3 linked regions of the Saccharomyces cerevisiae S288C genome follow. The gene in region 3 interacts genetically with the main gene of each other region. Each region holds a gene or a part of one and is shown on either strand. Other genes may lie near its edges.

Region 1 (3,672 bases), on a different chromosome or scaffold from region 3:
AATCCTTTTTGAATAGATGGGACGGGCCCTTATCGATAGTAGTATCACTGCTCATGCGCCCATCACAATCTGTCGATGGATCGTGAGATGCAAGTAATTGCATTCTAGGGGGAATGGCACCATTATGTTCGCTAGTATGACTGGCGCGTCTCTTATGAGTACTCTTCCTATTGTTAAACAGTTGAGAGGTTATGCTTCCCTGACGATCTTTATTGAATGCATCATGAAAATGATGTCCATGCTCCTTTTTGGTTGAATGCGATGGATCCTGAGTAGAAGGACTGTTTCCCATGGCGGCTGCAACAACTATATAATATGACAGTTCAACTTTCCAAGATGTCAGTCCACACGCAAAAAAAGAAGTGCAAATGAAAGAAACACTAGGTAAGACACCTTGTTTATGTAGGTATCCACTTGTATCGGATATATCTACCATTGTTAATTGTCAATAGTATTCCATCAGAGACAATGGTAAAAAGACAAAAAAGGTATAATCATCGTACAAAGCGATCAATATTACATGCTCTCATCCAACATTATGTATACTCAAGATATGTTTATATGCTACAGGAGCTGTCTAACCAGAGCACTCTGTAAGTCGCGAGCTTTGACTACTATTTTGCAGTCATCTGTACATTTTGCCTTGATTATTAATTCGCTGCATAAATCATCTATGTCCAACGATGAATATTTTGGTAGGGAGGAGATCTCTTCGAGAATGTGGTAGCAAGACGCTTTTCCATTCGATATGGCGCTGCTAATGTGTTCAATTGCTTCAGATTGGGTTCGAATTGTTTTAGTATGAGAAGCAGCCACCGGAAGCACCGAAGCTAGAGATTTCTGATTCAACAGGTGGCTTGTTATTAAGTCGCATTTGATCTCCTTATTTGAACATGGTTTGGTCCCGATACACTTGCGGTTGCAAATATTATTACACTGGCTCCCTACAGCAAGGGGAAGCACGCTGGGGAATAAAGTATCATCTTCTGTCTCGTATGGAAGATACTTTTGGTCAATTTCACATTGACATGCTGACGTATCTATTTTTTCAGCGGTCAGGCGTTCAGAGTGCTGAGGAAAGTAGTTATGAATGTCGTAATCTAAAGCTTCTAGACCAGTCTGTCTATCATTGGAGACAAGATCGAGACTGAAATCTGGCATTTCACTACCATTAATACTTTCGTCACCGATGGTAACGGCACCTGTTCGATTTCCGGGGGGAGAATCCCACGAATTGGTTAAACTGGGAGCGTTCCATGAGCCTATGTTCCACATAACTTTCTCATTCTCTTGAGTGTGCGGCTGTACTTCTATACTTGTGTTCACAGTCATGTTTTCATCTGAATTAGGCGATGGCAATTCCTTTGCAGCCTTGCTAACTGCTGTACTTGTTCCTTTTTCGTTTTCCCTTTTCTGTTGTTCTTGCAGATCATCGAGGAAGGCTAATATTCTTTCATCATCAGAATTCTTAGCTCTATATTTTGTAATTTCCGACAGTAAACTTTTTAAAGAACATAGTAAAAAGTCCGTGGTAGTCTTATTCTGCGCATCTTTCTGTTCTAGTAACTCTACCCTCTCTTGCAAACTCTTCATTTTGGCTTCTTTCCTATCTCGGAACGCTCGTTGAGCTGCCCTATTCTGGGCAGTCCTCCTACTCTTAGCTTCAGAGTCAATCCTTTTTCTGCCTGGTCTGCCCACCTTCCTCTTAGGTGTTCCATCTTTATTTAGCAACATTTGCTTCTTCATGTCACCTGCTAAATATATTTGCTGACCTTTCCGAAGGATATTGCCCATTTATCTTAACTGGTCGTTCCATTGCTTATATGTCGTCCTTAAAAGTAACACCCCATTCGTATGAAAGTATAATAGTAATTGATTATCGATTAACTATTGAAGAAACACTATTTATGCTGTTTTGAAAACTAAAAACGCCAGTGGACCGATATAGAAATAAACAAAATGGCCCTTTTCGTGTGTCACGTAGCTCCCAAAGTTCTTTCCGACAATCACATGCCAGGTATTGCCGTATTTGACATCCAATTGCTTCTTTACCGTCCCAGCAATGTCTCTTTCCAACTGGTACTTGTCCAGAGCATCTTTACTGATGGTTAAAATATCCTCTTTCAGCTTGTCGGTCTAAGTTTTCTCCTTGTTAGTAAATATATATATTCAAATGTACACACACAAAACATGTATATCATGGCACAATTACATACTATGTCAGACGCCTTAACAATAGCTGCAATTCATGGAAGAAAACCTCACTCTTCCTCGAGTTAGTAAAGAAAAATTGTATTGAAAGTCACAAAATTGTGACTGAGATTAACTGACATACGCGTACTCTTATTTTCATCGCTCATTTTGGTTTTAATTTGCTCTTCTTTATGTCGTTTCCCAGTTTCACTTTTTACCCTGGCAGTAGTTTTGGAGGCTTTCCTTTTCTGCAGTTTCGCTAGTTTGTAATCTCCATTTAAAGGGAAAAGAGAACCAGGCAACAAGATAAAGAGATAAGGGATAGAGACATAAATAGACATCTATACACGTAGTGAGTAACAACGGATACTACTACACATACAGAAAAAATGGACTACAACATATTTGAGGCGGTACATGAACAACAAAGCAGCACATCTGACATGGATCTCTCAGAAGAAGATAATAATCCATTCGTCGGCACTCATCACCTATATGCTTCTGGAATTGGGACTACTATCGGCGAAGCTCGCCCAGAGAACGAAAATTCGCCCCCTTCTTCATCGTCTTTGCCATCTAGCCCGGCACATTCCTCTTCTGCTGGCTCTTCCAGAGCATCTACGTCATCTTCAACCTCTTCTCATGCCGTAGTGGAAGCAGATGCGGAAACTGAACCTTTTGTTTCCTTGTCGATGTCTACTACTGCTACTATTAGCAAATTTACTCCCCACGATATGAATGGGACACAGCAGATCCAAATCATTGATGCCGGCGATTTCAAAGATCCATGGGGGAAACACGCTATCGGTTACGTAATTCTATATGAAAACAACAAGATTATCAGAAGGTACTCTGAATTTCATTCTTTGAGGCAATCTCTAACTAGACTCCTTCCTACGATAATTATTCCACCCATTCCATCCAAGCATTCTCTTCTCAAATACATATGGAGTCCCATAAACGCAGCAAATGATTCCAAAATTATCTCCACCAGGAAGAAAATGCTCAATTCATTCTTGTCTAACTGTCTGAACATTCAAGAAATAAGCAACGATATTGTTTTTCAAAAATTTCTAAACCCTGAATTTAATTGGAAAGATGTTTTAAGTTCGTCGCCGATAATCATACTACCTTTGAATAACCTTTTAGCTCCACCTTTAAGCCCAACAAAACCAAGCCCCCTTCATTCTATTTTACCTATTCCATCCAACTCGTCTCTGAGAAACTATAATTCGATTTGGCAACAACACATCACAGTAAAAAGTCATAATGAAATTTCCAACCTCCCAACAGAAATTTTACAAAACGAATCTCAATTTACACATATTGAAAATTTATTCCAAAATTATAAGCGAATAATCACCCATTTATTAAAAAACATAAGATCAAATAAATCTCATTTCCACTCCTTGTCCACGTATTTTGCTGAATTAGGCGCATATTATAATGCTTTTAGTTTGGAAAATGACATAACCATGC
Region 2 (3,764 bases), on a different chromosome or scaffold from region 3:
CTGGAATCAGGAAGCTGAGATAGCCCATCGGTGCCTATAGCGTGTTCTTTCGCCAATTGAGACCAGAGAAACTTACCAACGTGGTTCCCGCATTGACCTGCTTGCAAAGTAATAATTTCTCCACCCATAGATAGTTATATGTTGAATTCTTATACATGTGACTAACCGATATTACGCATTTGTTCATTTCGCAGCTACTGTTACGATTATTATTTATTACATTTAATGAAATTTCCCAAAAGATAATATTAACGCGTTCTGTTACCCGGTGATATTTTCTGAATGTCAGGGTAACAAAGAGAGAACGTTATAATGGGAGAATAGTAAATATTTGCTTTAGGAAATTAGTAATAATTGCAATGCGGAAAATAGGTGCATTTTGTGTTTCTTGAAAGGTTTGAACTAAAGAATGTATACATATATATTAGAGCGTGCCTTCATGCAGGGAATTAGAGGATCCGTTACGGAAGAGAGAACTTCGTAAGACATTATTGCTGTGACTATTTTGACCGTTTCCAAGAACTCAACCAGTCATTTATCTTTGGAGTAACAAAGCAGTCCCATTTGAGAGACCCCTCATCATGATGATTCAGTCTGTCTTGCCTGTTATACGAAACGACTACTCTTGACAAATCTTTTTGGGAAAAGGTTGGTGCCTTTTTCTTTGCCTTTATACAAAACTGCACTTGTTCTGTGAATTTATTTTGGTACGGCGTTACGGTGATTTGTTCAACATGCGCCGTAAATTGGCCCTTTTCGATAATATCGGGTGAATTTTCCCAATCTATGAGGCCACCTGCCCAGTTTATTGTACCGGGTCCGTTGGTTTCCGAGCCGCCTGGCCAAACAGCGATTTCTAGTCTCATCGGCGTTTGTGGGTACCTATATTCTTTACTAATGGGGTCCCAGGTATCCTTCTTCAGGACTGTGCGAGCTATTTTACCATCAACATACCATATTATCCTATCCGGGTCCCAATCAATCTCATAAGTGTGGTAAGTGGCCCAAGTGTCAGCGCCTACGGGAAATCTTTGCATTCTTGTGTAATCCAAATGCCCTTGAGAATAGTAGTTTGATTGGGCCGTCATTAAATCACCACCCAGCCACTCAAAATCAATCTCGTCCCCAATTGCGGATGTTAAGTCAAATGCAGTCACCACACCCCTCGACCTCGCCGTTTTCATTCGCACGCTTGCCTTGCCGTATAGAAACGACCTGGTCGATGTGATCAAACTTCCGGTAGTTTTTTTTGGCATAGCCAGAACAATATTCCCGCTACTCGCTTCAATTGATGTGTAGCCGCTATGTGTGAAATCGAAATCTTCCAACATTTTCTCTGCCTCTTTACTGTCTGGAGTGACCAAGAATTTGGCGTAGTGTATGATTCTCTTGGAATTTAGCTCCCCTTCTACTACACCCACCTTGGTATTTGCCTTATTCGGTCCATTTCCCTCTCTTATTGGTGGCTTAGGTTGATAGTTCACAATAAATTTAGGAACCTTTGGTGTGCTAACAAATTCAAGTTTTTGACTGGCGACTAATGCAGGTATAGGAGCACAGCTTTCCTCGTCGAAAGATGACCTCACGTTGCAGCCACCGACACATATCGGTCCAGCGCCACATTCATTATACGGCGAGCAGCACGGCCATTCTGCGGGACAAGGGTTATTTGGAGAACAAGAAATGGAGTTTTTGGGTTTGTATAATTCTCCCAGTGCAAATCCGATGTAGCCAACAACCGGCACCAGCTGTAATATTGATATTCTCATATTTTTATTTCGTGCAAAAGCCCTTGATGATACTCTAAACTAAACGACTGTTCTTGTATTTCGTTATTAATCGATAATTATTAGCTGGTATTGTCTTTTTTTTTTTTTTCCTACATGATCGTCGCGAGGCTTTACATAATTTTTGTGACGCCTTTAAAAGTATAGTAGAACGAGCACATAAGAAGTAAATGAAAAGTACGGCAGATGCAATTGACAGTAAAGAGCGGTACAATAGTTGAAGAATACCCGATAAAAATGTATTTAGGTTGCTTGACGGGTTTGCAGCAATTGCCAAGAACACTAACTGTGGCAATCTTGGTGAGAATCTACTCCCAACCCAAACATTTTCGCCGATATTTTTGCTCACCTTTTTTTTTTGCTCATCGAAAATTGTTATAGCGGCTCGACTTTGATTTACTAATACACCCAATTTCTAATATCCTCAAGGCTAGATCGTTCTCTCAAGGAACTTAAAGTGCCTGATCTTGCGATGATTAATCTACAGCGATGGATACTTAAATCATGTAAAAATCTCAGTTTTGAAGTCGTTTGCTCTCTTCCATGCTTCAGTTCCCTTTTGGAAGGTAATATAATCATCTAATTTCTCGCATATTCACGCCGACGGAAGAACGAGCCGGATCAATATGGTTAGAACCCGTGTATTATTCTGCTTATTTATATCTTTTTTTGCTACGGTTCAATCGAGTGCTACACTTATTAGCACTTCATGTATTTCCCAAGCTGCGCTATACCAATTTGGATGTTCTAGTAAATCTAAAAGTTGCTACTGTAAAAACATCAATTGGCTGGGTTCAGTGACAGCATGTGCCTATGAGAATTCCAAATCTAACAAAACACTAGACAGCGCCTTAATGAAGTTAGCATCCCAATGTTCAAGCATCAAAGTTTATACTTTAGAGGACATGAAGAATATTTATTTAAATGCGTCAAATTATTTGAGAGCACCTGAGAAAAGTGATAAAAAAACCGTGGTTAGTCAACCGCTCATGGCGAACGAGACAGCGTATCATTATTATTATGAGGAAAATTATGGTATCCATCTTAACCTAATGCGCTCTCAATGGTGCGCTTGGGGTCTCGTCTTCTTCTGGGTGGCTGTGCTTACTGCAGCCACTATCTTGAACATTCTGAAAAGGGTGTTTGGTAAGAACATCATGGCAAACTCCGTCAAAAAATCACTTATTTATCCTTCTGTTTACAAAGATTATAATGAACGAACTTTTTATTTATGGAAGCGTCTACCATTTAATTTTACAACTCGAGGCAAGGGTCTCGTCGTATTAATTTTTGTTATTTTGACTATATTATCTCTCAGTTTTGGTCATAATATTAAACTTCCACACCCATATGATAGGCCCAGATGGAGAAGAAGTATGGCCTTTGTGAGTCGTAGAGCAGACTTGATGGCCATTGCACTTTTCCCAGTAGTCTATCTATTCGGAATAAGAAATAATCCCTTCATCCCTATAACAGGGCTTTCCTTTTCTACATTTAATTTCTATCATAAATGGTCTGCCTACGTTTGTTTCATGTTGGCCGTTGTACACTCAATTGTCATGACCGCCTCGGGAGTGAAAAGAGGTGTGTTTCAAAGTCTGGTTAGGAAATTTTACTTTAGGTGGGGTATAGTGGCAACGATATTAATGTCTATTATTATTTTCCAAAGTGAAAAAGTATTTAGAAATAGAGGGTATGAGATATTCCTTCTTATTCATAAAGCGATGAATATTATGTTCATTATTGCCATGTACTACCATTGTCACACCCTGGGCTGGATGGGTTGGATTTGGTCAATGGCTGGTATTTTATGCTTTGATAGATTCTGCAGGATTGTTAGAATAATCATGAATGGTGGCTTGAAAACTGCTACTTTGAGTACCACTGATGATTCTAATGTTATTAAAATTTCAGTAAAAAAACCAAAGTTTTTCAAGTACCAAGTAGGAGCTTTCGCATACATGTATTTCTTATCAC
Region 3 (4,750 bases):
GTCAACACTTTATACACTGTGTCTGAAGCTTTGGAAACTGGTATGGTTTCATGTAATACAGGTGTTTTTTCGGATTGTTCTATACCATTTGGTGGTGTTAAAGAGTCAGGATTTGGAAGAGAAGGTTCGCTATATGGTATTGAAGATTACACTGTTTTGAAGACCATCACAATTGGGAATTTGCCAAACAGCATTTAAAGCAATAGTAATCGTGGACGATACTTAGAATTGAATATGATTCTTTGTAATGATTGTATATATCTATTGCATGTATAAATACTCTACTCCTCGTATATAGAAAGTTAAGTAAATTTTTTGAAAGAAAAGAGTTCATATATTTACGGAGTTTTGAAGTTTTTCACAAGCGGAATAAGTGATACCATTCATAAAATATCATATCTATCTATCTATCTATTTTTGTGAGATATATGGTACGAAAATAAATGCCTTTCCTTTTAAGCCTTTCTGTAAGCTTTTATGTATACAACGTTTCTTTATCTTTATTTCGGACCTTGTTTCATGTACTTTTCCTTATAAATCCAATCTGAACCTAATAGATTTGCACCTTTTTTATCGGCTATCCTAAACCATGCAGCAGCTCTGGCGAGATCCCTTTTCTTTACGTTTGAAGTTTTGGACCAAATTGTCCCGCTTAAGCACATTGAGTCTACATGGCCTAATAGAGCAGCTTTTTCCAAAAATTTCAAACCTTTTCGCTCGTCGGGATGATCCATCCCAAGACCCTTTAAATATGCCATACCACATTCGTACAAGGCAGGTGCTGTTGGTTCAGGCGCTATATCAGGGATATCGTCCATTGAAGCAAAATTTAACGGATTTATATCTAAATCAAGAACCTCAGCAGCAAAGGATTTGATATCAGTGGCAGCCATTAAATATCCTAATGATAATTTCAAGTTCTTGTCCACTCCGCAGCCATGTCGCAGGGCTAGTCCATATAACAGAAACGCAGTTTTGTTTCCGCACGCGCAGGCTTTTTTCAGTCGTTGTGCAGATTCTTCAAGTTTGCCTTGATGACGCATAGTAATTGCCTGTCCGATGTGTGAAGATTCATCATTATCATAAGGTTCTGGGTGAAATTTAAGCTTCCCGCACTTGCTTGTTGCGTTCGATCCTTCTTTTTTATGACTGAAGGAATCCATGCATTGCGTCGAATTATTGGGCAACATACCATCTAAAGAAAGTGTTCTTCTTCTAACTTTCGGGTGGTAGGGCTTATTTGATTGTTCTGTTAGTGCACTTAGTTCACCTATTTTTGAATCTTTTTCCGTTGTATGGAAATCCGAGAAAGTTCTCAAATGAGTCCTATTTGGACGTGCTTTACTGTTCTTTTTTTTATCCGTGGATGACTGAGGTGTTGATGCTGTTTTAAAATGGAAAACTGGGTTTGGAGGAAAAATATACCTAGCTAAATGTGGACTGGAATTATTAATGGTACTTGAAGTAGATGGAAGTTGAATATTCTCCCCAGAGAAGTCCAATGAATTGGTGGCAGACCGGATAGGGCTTGATCCTTCAGACTCAAGGTCTTTCTTATTTTTTGCTCTTGTCCTAGGAGATTTAAAAAGTTTTTTTAGCGAATTTAGTGACGTTTTTTTTTTATGAGCTTTATATGGTGGCGTTGGAGGTAATGAAATATCATTTGTCATGGTATTTGTTTTCGTTATCGTCGAGGTAGAGGAATTAGACCGTTTAGGAGATGGTTTGATGGGTGTTGTATCACTCTTAGTTAACTTGAGTTTGGAGAATGAGGATGATTCACTTTCAAAAGAAGACTGAGTTTTCGGCTTTGATAGTTGTCCAACTTCAGAAAAGGAGGTGTTGGTGCTTGTTGAACTTCCGTTCCGATAAAGACAATTACTCTTTTGCGTGGTTGTGAACTCATTGGGGCAACTCTGCTTCTCGGATATTCTGTCAGTTTTTGTAGATGTATTAATATTATTACTAGTAGTTCTGTTATTCTTACTATTAGCATTATTGTCAACGCTAGTATTATTGTCTGATATCAGCGTAGGATAAAGATGGTGCAGTCTAGTATTTTCAATCCTATATTTCTCGAAGTTGAAAGGATTAGGGCTATTTGTGCTTCTATTGCCATTTTCAAGGTTTGGGTACTTATAATCTTTCTCATTTCTATTCATTTGGGGTTTCATGCCACTAAAAGTCTCAGAGTCATAATCTTCTTCGACGATATAAGAGTATCTCGACTTCACGGGCAAATGCCTTTCCACTTTACCGGAAGAGTATTTGCCTCTCAAAGTGGAATCCTTTTCTTTTAAATTGTCTATGATAAGAGAACGATCTCTAGCTTGTATATATGTTGGAGAGGGATTAGTTCTATACCTTAATGAAGGGAATTCCGACGCAGGCATACATAATGTTGGACCACTTGTTTGTGACAGTTGCGAATTTCTCGACGCGTTTTCTTCTTCTAATAAAGCTTCTTGCAGAATCAGTTCATCTTCCAAGCTGAGGTCTAATTTGTCAAGAAGTCTTTCCGTGGTTTGAATAGATTCGAATGAAATGCTACTTTTATTTGAATGAGCATAGCTAAATTGTGAATCCATTGATGACTCGAAGCTATTATTGGGTGGTGGGCTTTGTGAAACCTCTGAAGAGTTAGCTTTTCTTTCTTGATCGTCGCTTCCTATTCGATCAGCCCAAGAAGTGTTTTTTAAATTTTGATTCATTACTTTTCGTGTGACGTAAAAGTCCGTTTGTTTTTCTAGATTTTCTGTTTTTTCTCGAGGCTCCTACAAGTTCCACCTATATTTAGCATTGAGGAACAGAATGTGCTATCGCAAAGAGCAATGGCAACAGAAAAAAAGAGTTGCTAAAGAAGAACTATTTTTGAATGTCCGTGGTAATACAATGGAAGACTACTAGAACACGATGGCAGATAAGGTGATTTGATAATCAAATTCAACGACGGTTGCACCGTTGTTCTTTCTGCCGCTCTTCGTCCGGAGCCTTCTGTGATAATTGTTTTAACGCGCAGAAACACACGCAGGCTGCGTAAAGGAATGGTGGGGCTCGAAGAAGTGACAGTGGGTGTCCACGGAATGTTCTGAGCGCAGGGATCCGGTGTTGCCATCGCACACGATATGAGACGCGTTCATTTTTTCCAGCAGTCACCTAAAAGTTCAAGAAACGCTATGTTGTAATGCAGCTGTATTGTACACTGGCTGGTATTGCCGTTCTGATCTATGACTTACTTGTTAGAGGTAATAGCTGTCTTAGATCGGCTTGCTTCTTCTGACTTCCTTCTTTTTTTTTTTTTTTTCGAAGTGAGGCATGCTGCAGTTTTGTGCAGCTTCTCTTGCATCACTTCCTGTATTATTTACGTTGTTTACATTATCAGGTATTTTGTATTATTTTTTGCGCAACAGCAAGCAAACGCAATAGCGATAAATGCCATAATATAATCAAAATTTAGCAAGGATACATAGCAGCAAACCCGAACCTTTAGGCCTCTCATAGATGAAGAAAATTTGTACAATTCTTTTGGTTCTTTGGCTCTTCAAATATGAATTTATTAAGAGGAAATCCTGAAGCATCAGAACATCGCAAACTTTTTATTCGCAAGAGGATTTATCCTCTGATTAGTTATATATGAATATGTGTTCCTTCTGCATGATTTTGATATCAATAGTATGCATTTTTTTTCGATTCGTCGTAGAAACATAGCTACTCTCATGACCAAATGACTCTTTTTGGCTTTGACAGTGGAACAGCCAAGTTTTTATGTAGAAATATATTATCTGTTAACTGGAAATGATGTCTTAGGCCCATAAAATGTGCTAGAACGTATGGCTAATCCTTTTGCTCTGTATTCAATTGAGTATTTTGCTTAATTTCTATTTGATAATTGAACTTCTTACGTGTATAAATGGTTGCATATTTCTTTAGTAAGTACTATTTTCAAATATGAGTGAAGGATATTGTGGCTCAAGTAATTCCTCTTTCTTTTTTCATCCGTATGGTAAGCAAAGGGTCACAAAGTAACCGATAGTGTGTAGACCTTAGATCTTCCTTCAAAGATTTCAAGTCTGCGATAAATAAACATGAGAATACTTGCAACAACAACTTTTATAAACAATGAAGTTCATTATGAACAGTATTTATTTCACTGCTAAACTTTACGTAAACTTATGTGGAACATCTTTGTCGACAGATGGACGATAAGTAAAATTGTGTTATTATAATTCAAATTTTCATGGTAAGAACATCGGCTTTCTACTCCTCTGTGTACGAAGATCTTGTACGTAATGATGGCCCATACTTATAAAGTATAAACGGGATAATAGCTAGACCTAAAGTTAGGAACCCCACTAAGGACGAACCCCATGCCACAGGATAGTTCTTAGTAGCTAAATTGTCATACATTGCTCTACCAAACAACGGAAAAGCACAGGCAAACGAAGCCCGACAAAAACCATTGCCTGCAAAAACGGATGCAACATACTTTGGGTAGCATGTAGCCAAATATGCAAAAGTTGCTTGGAAAATGTTAAAGACAGCTAAAACAAAAAAAACTTCCGAGATAACTGGCAAAATCCAATGCACTCGAGCAGTCCAACCAAATAAGAACAAAGACAGAGGCAGGCACCAGCAGACACACATTGCCACGATTAAAAAAGCTTCCGGGGTGAATGTGCCGTTTCTAAAACGTGGTACAATAATCCTCATGTTTAAAATACCGAATAAGCCATAAGCAAGTACGCACCCT

What was found.
Region 1: mutations in DSF2 (region 3) and CAD1 together harm fitness more than expected from each alone (negative genetic interaction), as found in Saccharomyces cerevisiae (2 studies listed by BioGRID).
Region 2: mutations in DSF2 (region 3) and CRR1 together harm fitness more than expected from each alone (negative genetic interaction), as found in Saccharomyces cerevisiae (2 studies listed by BioGRID).

The regions. Positions count from the first base shown.
Region 1 is NC_001136.10:1,317,482-1,321,153, forward strand, and holds CAD1 (Cad1p), read right to left. Parts: upstream 1,795-3,672; coding exon 565-1,794; downstream 1-564. Other genes in the region: SIP1 (Sip1p), read right to left, coding at 1-292; DYN2 (dynein light chain), read right to left, coding at 1,906-2,136, 2,217-2,239, 2,336-2,360; SNX41 (Snx41p), read left to right, coding at 2,583-3,672. UniProt on the Saccharomyces cerevisiae protein: Transcription activator involved in oxidative stress response and cadmium resistance. Regulates the transcription of genes overrepresented for the function of stabilizing proteins including the inducible Hsp90-family protein HSP82.
Region 2 is NC_001144.5:566,154-569,917, forward strand, and holds CRR1 (putative glycosylase), read right to left. Parts: upstream 1,770-3,764; coding exon 501-1,769; downstream 1-500. Other genes in the region: TUB4 (gamma-tubulin), read right to left, coding at 1-128; FRE1 (ferric/cupric-chelate reductase), read left to right, coding at 2,414-3,764. UniProt on the Saccharomyces cerevisiae protein: Spore specific glycosidase involved in spore wall assembly during sporulation. May be involved in copper import.
Region 3 is NC_001134.8:248,306-253,055, forward strand, and holds DSF2 (Dsf2p), read right to left. Parts: upstream 2,712-4,750; coding exon 501-2,711; downstream 1-500. Other genes in the region: UGA2 (succinate-semialdehyde dehydrogenase (NAD(P)(+))), read left to right, coding at 1-198; FLR1 (Flr1p), read right to left, coding at 4,258-4,750.